Regions from separate parts of the Mus musculus genome. Here region 2 is reported to be linked to region 1. The links are microRNA targets in miRTarBase. Many come from high-throughput screens and were not tested one by one. Region 1 holds a microRNA gene; the other region holds the end of a gene's coding sequence.

Region 1 (4,152 bases):
GAGATAAAAATATATGTGGAAATATTTTGTAAACTGTAAAGTGCTACATAAGTGTACCTGATTATTTCATTGAAAAAACATTGTCATGCTGATGTCTTATCCAGCAACGTTTAGCCTCCCAGGTGACAATTTTGTGTCAAAAATGTGCTCTAGGAACCGATGGTTAGCAGGTCTTTGGCTTTATCCAGGTGGTCCATGAGCTGGAAAAGATGGAGAATTCTCTCACTAAAGGGCCATATCACTTGACTCTATTGACAGCATGTCATGTGGAACTCAAAATTGCCTTCTTGAATGCAGATAGATTGCATCTATTAGTTGCTTCTTGCTGTCATGACCTGCCAGACGGGAAAATTAAATGTGCCTACAAATATTTCAGTATCTGTGCTGTGTGAAGGTTTAATATTCATTTGGAGCAGTGAGTTGAGAGAGGGAAAATAACCCACACCCTTTAGGTTGGGCTCAGAAATTGCTAAGTTCAACAGGGGTTCTTTGAGCATTCACCCAAAGCTAGCATGTGAAGAATGTGTTAAGCCTTCGAAAGAATGACATTCAGCTGTAATATTGACAACTCCACCATTATACATTCTTTAAGACGCTGCAAAGATTCAAACTCAGGTAGGAGTCTGTCTATTCCAATGGGACTTGAGGAAACTTGCCCTAAAATAGGTGGGCAGCAGAGCAGCGGAAGAACGTGTTCATGAGATGGGAAAGGTGGTAGGGGTATCTGTCTAACCTTAGCAGTCATCCTGTTAAGATGTGGACATACACTTACATTACATTGCATGTGGGACCAAAAGATAGACATCAATAGGCTGAAGTCATAAAAGCCATAGGTATCTAGTATCGGGCTAGGAATGTAGATCAGTGGCTAAACATTTACCTAATACATGTGAGACCCTAGGTTCAATCCTCAGCACCTCAGAAAACAAAATTAAAGATGAGAACAATAAAACAAAATGCATTGAGTAGTTACATGGGAAACCACACAGAAATGACTTTTAGAAGTTATGTTATACAAAGATGATTTCATATACATCTTGTTACCGCTATGAAAAGAAGTCTATTAAAGAAATGAATAGCCAATGAAAATGACTTGTAAAGTGGATGTTGTTATTATATGTCGATCATTTTAAGTGTCACAAATTTTCAATGTTTTTAGGATGCTGTCATTGTCAATTTTATATCAATGTACAAATATGATTTCAGAAGTTAGTTGGTGCCTTCGTTCCCCTAACCCTGTTTTTTTTCCATACTAAGGTCCTAAATTCCTCAAGCCTGACTTCTCCTGCCCCAGGGGTTAACAGAAACCTATCCCCCTTGGTTGCCGAGGGACAGCTGTGTTTGAAATGGGGACTGCCCTCAAGGAGCTTACAATCTAGCTGGGGGTAGATGACTTGCACTTGAACACAACTAGACTGTGAGCTTCTAGAGGGCAGGGGCCTTACCCTAGTCATCTCTCTGCTCACTCTGCACACCCTCCCTGTGGGACATCCTCCATCCCCATGGCGCCAACCACTGCCTGTTTGCTGAGAACTCTGTAGGCCTGAACTGTCTCCTGAGCACTGACTCCAGCTCTACAGTGTCTCCTGGCTCCATCCCTGGGTGGGATGCTCCATACCACTGCTGCAACCGAATCAGCAATGTGCAACTCAATGTCAATTACTTCTTGAGGCCAGCCCTGGCTCTTCAACTCCTGGGCTTGGTCTTCAAAGCAAAGGTCCAGAGTTATTGTTTTGGACTGAGCTCAATGTAAAGTGCTTGTGTTTAATGTTGATTAAATTGGAACATCTTTCTCATTGTATATAGACTGGCTAAATAGGTGGGTTGAAAATTAACAGAGAAATGCTCTTGGAATGTATCAGTTATTGTCTCTAGTGATAAAAAAATGGTTAATGCTTTAATTTTCTGATAATGTGCTTTCTCGATGTCCTGTGATGACTATGTGTGAATTTTATAACCAGCAAAACTAACTCATAAAAGTGGCTGAAAAGTGCTTCAGATAAGTGTCATCTTCTTTGGAAAGTGTCTTTTACTTCTTAATATCCCACATGGAGTCTGAAGCTCTGTTTTGGCCTTTCTCTGTTAGGGGAACTTGTGTTCTTTGTATAAATCTCTTCCCCCTAGAATGTGAGCTCCTAGAGAGCAGAAGAACCATTGACTTATTTGTTCATTTCCCAGTGCTTAGCACAAGGCCTACACAAGTAACACCTTAATGAGCGCTTAGTCTTTAAAGGAAGAGGGGCTGTAATATATGACTTCTATGAGTCACTTGCCTTTATTTCTGGATACTCCTTTGTTATGATTTTTAGTCTGCTAGTCACTGACTTTTAAATCAATATTTTAAATTGTTCTAATCTATATTAAAGACTTCATAAATGCCTATCAAACTCATTCAAAGTGAGGTCTGGCATGTTAGCAGCTCTTTTAAATCTATCTTGGGTAACGTGCCCCCTACCTGAAACCTCAGGCATAAAATTCAGGACTGCAGAGTCCAAACCTGAGTGCATTTCTTAAATTGAAAAGTGGCAAATGACAGTGGCTCATGGGAAGATATATGTCGGGGTAGATACAATAAGAGAAAAATGACAGTAACCAACTTTAATTCTGTGTTACTCTGTACCAGGCACTGTGCTACACAGCAGCATGCACCATCCTTGTCCCCTTTCCCTTATGATATAAATATGGTTATCATCTCCATTTTGCTCATGAGGAAAATGAGGCTTGAGGATGCACTTGATGGGGAGACTAGTATTTGAACTTTGGACCATTTTATTTCATCTTCAAAGTGCACTGTGATGTAAGTAGTCTTAACTTTTCCAGCTTACGATGGTGAAATCAAAGCCCAGGGAACAAGTAAGGTAGGCCAGCCCATGTATCTCTTTTGAAATGATGGAAGGAGTCGGGAAGAGGGATGCTTGGAGAGAGTAGCCCTGTTCTAATGTTTGTTAGATAATGTTTGTTAGATATGCTCTGCCCTGAATACACAAAGGTCTCCTCCCAGGTTCACAGTGCTCCCGAAGTTGGAAGGGATTTGTTCCATGGTTAGGCAGTGTTATTTAAAGGAGTCTTATGTGGTTTTTAAAAAATAGCTAAGGACACATCGCAAGGACTGGTGAGGACCCGTGCATGGTCTGTCTCCATGGTGGGAATTTAACCATTTAATATCAGCTAGCGTAGAGAATTGTGTTCTGGAGAGTGTGTGCACGCATGTTTGTCTTCTGGGTCTGTAGCCAACTAATTACAAAATCAGCCAACAAATATTTATTCAAGAAGTGACCTGATAGTTCTCTCATTTGCTGTCTGCTTAAGGAAGGGTTACTGCCTTGGGTAGAGTTTGGGCTAATGAGATAATAATAATTACCACTCATTGAGTGCAGGTTGCATGTCAGGAACTTTTCTGGGCACTTTCTTATACACAATTCCAATTAATCTTCACAACCTCAAGGAGGAAGGTTTTATCACCTACTCTTGACAGAGGAAGGAACTTACAGAGTTTGAATGGCTCCTTTAAAGTCTCAGTAATTCAATCCAAGCAAGTAGAGAGAGCCCGATTTGACTCCCATCTGTCTCCTCAGATCCTCTTTCCCTATCCATTCTGTTTGGTGTGCAGGGTGCCTGTGGCTTACGTTTATCACATTAGCAAACATCCTTGGTGGAACGGAGTCAGTATTTTTAAAATCTTGACAATTTTTTTTCCTAACTCTCCACCATGCTAACTCCACTTGACAGCAGCTAAGATTGATTTGATGGTTATATGCAAATCCTATAAGGGGAAATTAAAAAAAAAAGTTATAAAATTGCCCAAGTTTTTCTAGTCATTTAGCCGCTAGCTCTCCCTGACACAGACAAGAATGTGGTCCTTGGGAGGAGCCCAGTGATACCCCAGACACATGCCCTTAGCATATTTTACTTCCTAGCTTCTATAGAGGCCAACTGCTTGTACTCTCTAGTGACCCTTAGCATTCTCTGGGGTCACCAGGATGTCCTTCTTTGTTGTCCATGAGTGGCAGCAACTGTTGGTCAGGAAAGGAATTAACTTTGGACATCAAATACTGAAGATAATGGCTTAGCTCAGGAAAGTGTATAAAGGAGCCTAAGGTTGGCACATCTATACGGTTCCCCAGTAGCCATGTGGCATGGAGTCACCTGGAT
Region 2 (4,000 bases), not on the chromosome of region 1:
GGTACCAGGAAAGGAAAACAAGGAGCAAGAGACCCAGATTAGCAAAGGGGATCATAGCAAGGATGTCTCAGGGGCTAAAAGCCTCAAGCTTCTCTGGGCCTATGTGGCACACCTTGGGGTACGGCTGGCCCTTGAGGGAGCAGCTCTAGGTGTTCAGTACAATCTGTATGGTTTCAAGATGTCCAGCACTTTTATATGTCGTGAGGATCCTTGTATTGGCAGCACAACCTGTTTCCAGTCTCACCCCTCTGAGAAGACCATCTTCCTCAACATCATGTTTGGGATCAGCGGGGCCTGTTTCTTATTTATTTTCTTGGAGCTTGCGCTTTTGGGTTTAGGGAGGTTTTGGAGGATATACAAGCACAAACTTTCCTTCTTAAAGAAGTTGCCAACTTCAGAGAGCTCTGTAAGATCCAAGGACACAACCGATGAATTGTCAGTGGTGGAGGCAAAAGAGCCATTTTGAGATGCAGGTGAGGACCCTACTGCCAATCATCTATCCCTGCCTCTGATCTCTCTGTGTTAGCAGTCCCCACTTAGAGTAGGCCCCTCATCCTTTGGGGTGTACAGTTCCCATGTTACAAAGTTTCTAAGCAGAGGCATTCTACTTTTACTTTGGTGTGTGTGTGTTTGTGTGTGTGTGTGTGTGTGTGTGTGTGTGTGTGTGTGAGAGAGAGAGAGAGAGAGAGAGAGAGAGAGAGAGAATATTCAGGTGCCGGTGGAGGCCAGAGAAGGTGGTAGATCTTTTGGAGCTGGAATTACAGGTAGCTGTCCAATGTGGGAACTGGGAAGCAAACTTTGGTTTCTTTGCACTCTAACCACTGGGACATCTCTCCAGAACCCAGATGTATTTTTTAAGGGATGAAATGTTTACTTTGGTTCACAGTTTGAGGGTACAGTCTCTCTTGGTGGAGAAGGCATTCATATATGTATATGAAACAGCTAGCCCTGACTGGCGTGAAATTTGCTATAGTAGATCAGGCTGGCTTTGAACTCATGGAGAACCATCTGCCTCTGGCTCTCAAGTTCTAAGATTAAAAGCAAGAGCCACCATGCTCTCAGTCTCATGGCTGAGGCATGTATTTGATTACTACCCCCAAACCGTTTCCCAATACCTATCCCTATCAGTTGCATGACTCCTTGTGGTAGACCCCGATAAGCACACTGGTTTGTGTATTGCCTGCTCTTTCATTTGGTAAAATCCTCAGCTTCTGCTTAATTTCTACTTTTCAGAGTTGTAAAGTTGCCTGGATTGCCTGCAGAAAACTCTGGGACTTGATCTTCAATACATCCAGTGAGGTGGCCGGGGAGATGGTACAGGGGTAAAGGTGCTTGCAGTCAAGCCTCATGATCTGAGATTGATCTCCAGAACCCACACGGAGAAGGGAGAAAACCAACTCCCACAAGTTGCCCACATACATGTCATGAAGAGTACACACACACACACACACACACACACACACACACACAAAGAATAAATAAAATAATAAAATCTCAGAAAACAAAACAAGACCTCCTACATCAATTAGCTGCCACTTCTAATTTTTCTTTCCTGTCTCTCCACTAAATATAAACAAAAAACAGGCTACTTTCTGTTCTAATGGATTATCTATCCTATTCTGGGATTGTATAGAGATGGAATCATACAGTATGCTTATTAATCACTTGTATATCTTTGTAGAAAAGACCAAGTTTTTTGCCAATTAAATTAGGTTATTTATTTTTGCCTTGTATAAACTATATAATTGTTAGATACCTATCAAGTGGCTCATTTCAAAACATTCTCTTCTATTCCATGGGTCATCTTCATTTTCTTCCTGAGTAGCATTTCTTTAAAATTATTTATTCTTTGATAATTTCCTACATGTATACAGTGTGTTTTGATCACGTCTACCCTATATCCCTGTATCACTGCTCTTGGATCTCCTGACATGTCCCTATCCTAATTTCTTGTCCTCTTCTTTTCTTTATAACCCACTGAGAACAAAAATCAGTGCTACTCAAAGTGTGAATTGGTGTGAAGCTATCTACCCGAACACAGTCAACCTACTCGATGCCACACCCAAAGAAGATGGAGTCTTCCTCTGCCAGCATTGATCAACTGCCAACAGTTCCTCAGTTGTGGGTAGTCCTTCTCTCATTCATCCTGTAATGCTGAGTGTCTTGAGCTTGTGCAGGCAACCACTGCTTCTGTGAGTTTATGAATGCAAGTTCCTGCTGTGTTCATAAGATGTTGTTTCATAGCAGATCTCCCAGAGCACTGGATCTTTACATTTTTCTTTCCCATTTCTCCATCTTCTCTAATGTTCCCTTGAGCTTTGGGGGGCAAGGATGTGCTGTCGATGTCTCATTTGAGACTGAATATTACATGGACACCTGTTTCTGCATTTACAAATTGTAAGTCTGTATATTGGCCACTGTTCACTGTAAAAAGAAAAAGTCTGTGGTCAGTGTTGAAAACTGACCTAATCTATGAGTTTCGAGAATCATTTAGAAGACAGTTTGATACTATGTCAATTTAGCAAACTAATAGTGACTTTTCTGTAGGGCTTTTGAGCTCCGCAGGATGGGTTCTTGGCCAGATTTGTAGTACCAGGCATGGGGTTTCTCTTGTGGAGTGAATCCTCAATCGAATCAGAAAGCAGTTGGTTACTCCTGTACCAGCTACACCACTGTTTCACCCATGCATGTGTCTTGTGAGGCTGGTTGTTGGAACTCATCAGATTCATACATGAGAAAGAGTTTTGATGACTAGGAAGGCTACCCAGCATAGAGTTGGCAATATTTTTTGATGTACAAAACTTTACATTTTTTTCCCAATTCTTTTTTGAGACAGGGTTTCTCTGTGTAGCCCTGGCTGTCCTGGAACTCACTCTGTAGACCAGGCTGGCCTCGAACTCAGAAATCTGCCTGCCTCTACCTCCCGAGTGCTGGGATTAAAGGCGTGCGCCACCACGCCCAGCATTTTCCCCAATTTTTTATTAGGTATTTTCTTCATTTGCATTTCAAATGCTATCTAGAAAGTCCCCTATACCCTCCCCCCGCGCCCTGCTCCCCGCTCCCCTACCCACCCACTCCCATTTCTTGGCCCTGGCGTTCCCCTGTACTGGGGCATATAAAGTTTGCAAAACCAAGGGACCTCTCTTCCCAATGATGGCAGAGTAGGCCATCTTCTGCTACATATGCAGCTAGAGACAGGAGCTATGGCGGTACTGGTTAGTTCATATTGTTGTTCCACCTATAGGGTTGCAGATCCCTTCAGCTCCTTGGGTACTTTCTCTAGCTCCTCCATTGGGGACCCTGTGTTCCATCCAATAGATGACTGTGAGCGTCCACTTCTGTATTTGCCAGGCACTGGTAAAACCTCACAAGAGACAGCTATATCAGGGTCCTTTTAGCAAAATCTTGCTGGCATATGCAATGGTGTCTGTGTTTGGTGGCTGATTATGGGATGGATCCCTGGGTGGGGTAGTCTCTGGATGCATTTTACATTTTAATGAACTCTAATTACTTGTTTTTCTTTTGGCTTTTGTGAATTTGGTGCTACATTTAAGAGACCATTGTTTGACTCAAAACTATGAGTTTACACTTGTGTTTCCATCTAAGAATTTTATACTTTTAACTTATGTTTGACTCTGATCTCTTATGGAGTGGAAAAAAAAAGACAAAATGACATTATCTTTCTTATTGGAAACAATGTAAATGAGCAAAGTATTTGAATTGTAAGAAAGAAAAATTTACTGTTAATCTAGAGGCCCATGATTGGCAGAACTAACTCTCAGAAGTAAAGGCAAAGATAAGCATTTGTCTTGATGTGATGTATGTGCCTGCTCTTATTGTAGCTTGCATTACAGTGTTTGGTTGATGTCCCTGGGAGGACTGCTCTTTTCTCAGGGGATGTGGAGGGGGTAAGACTGGGGGGAGTGGGAAGATGCTGGGGAGAGATTGGGGGGAAGAGAGGAAGGTGAAACAGCAGTTGGGATGTAAAACATGAGAAAAG

Evidence for each region. Region 1 holds the annotated microRNA mmu-miR-708-5p (AAGGAGCUUACAAUCUAGCUGGG, at 1,362-1,384, shown strand). A microRNA usually pairs through its seed, bases 2 to 8, with sites in the 3' UTR of a target mRNA and lowers its output. Matches are read on the target gene's strand: a 7mer-m8 pairs with bases 2 to 8, a 7mer-A1 pairs with bases 2 to 7 and ends in A, and an 8mer does both.
Region 2: the mRNA of Gjc3 is a reported target of mmu-miR-708-5p. Seed matches in the 3' UTR shown: 7mer-m8 at 3,261-3,267 and 7mer-m8 at 3,282-3,288.

The regions. Positions count from the first base shown.
Region 1 is chr7:96,248,089-96,252,240 of GRCm38, forward strand. It overlaps Mir708 (microRNA 708), which reads left to right and starts at 1,336; the gene lies at 1,336-1,444. The region is part of intron 1 of Tenm4 (teneurin transmembrane protein 4); the gene reads left to right.
Region 2 is chr5:137,953,678-137,957,677 of GRCm38, reverse strand. It overlaps Gjc3 (gap junction protein, gamma 3), which reads left to right. Exons shown (of 3, transcript NM_080450.5): 2 at 1-473; 3 at 1,234-3,805. The coding sequence ends at 466. Among named protein-coding and RNA genes, the nearest start is that of Gjc3, 7.4 kb to the left of the region's middle.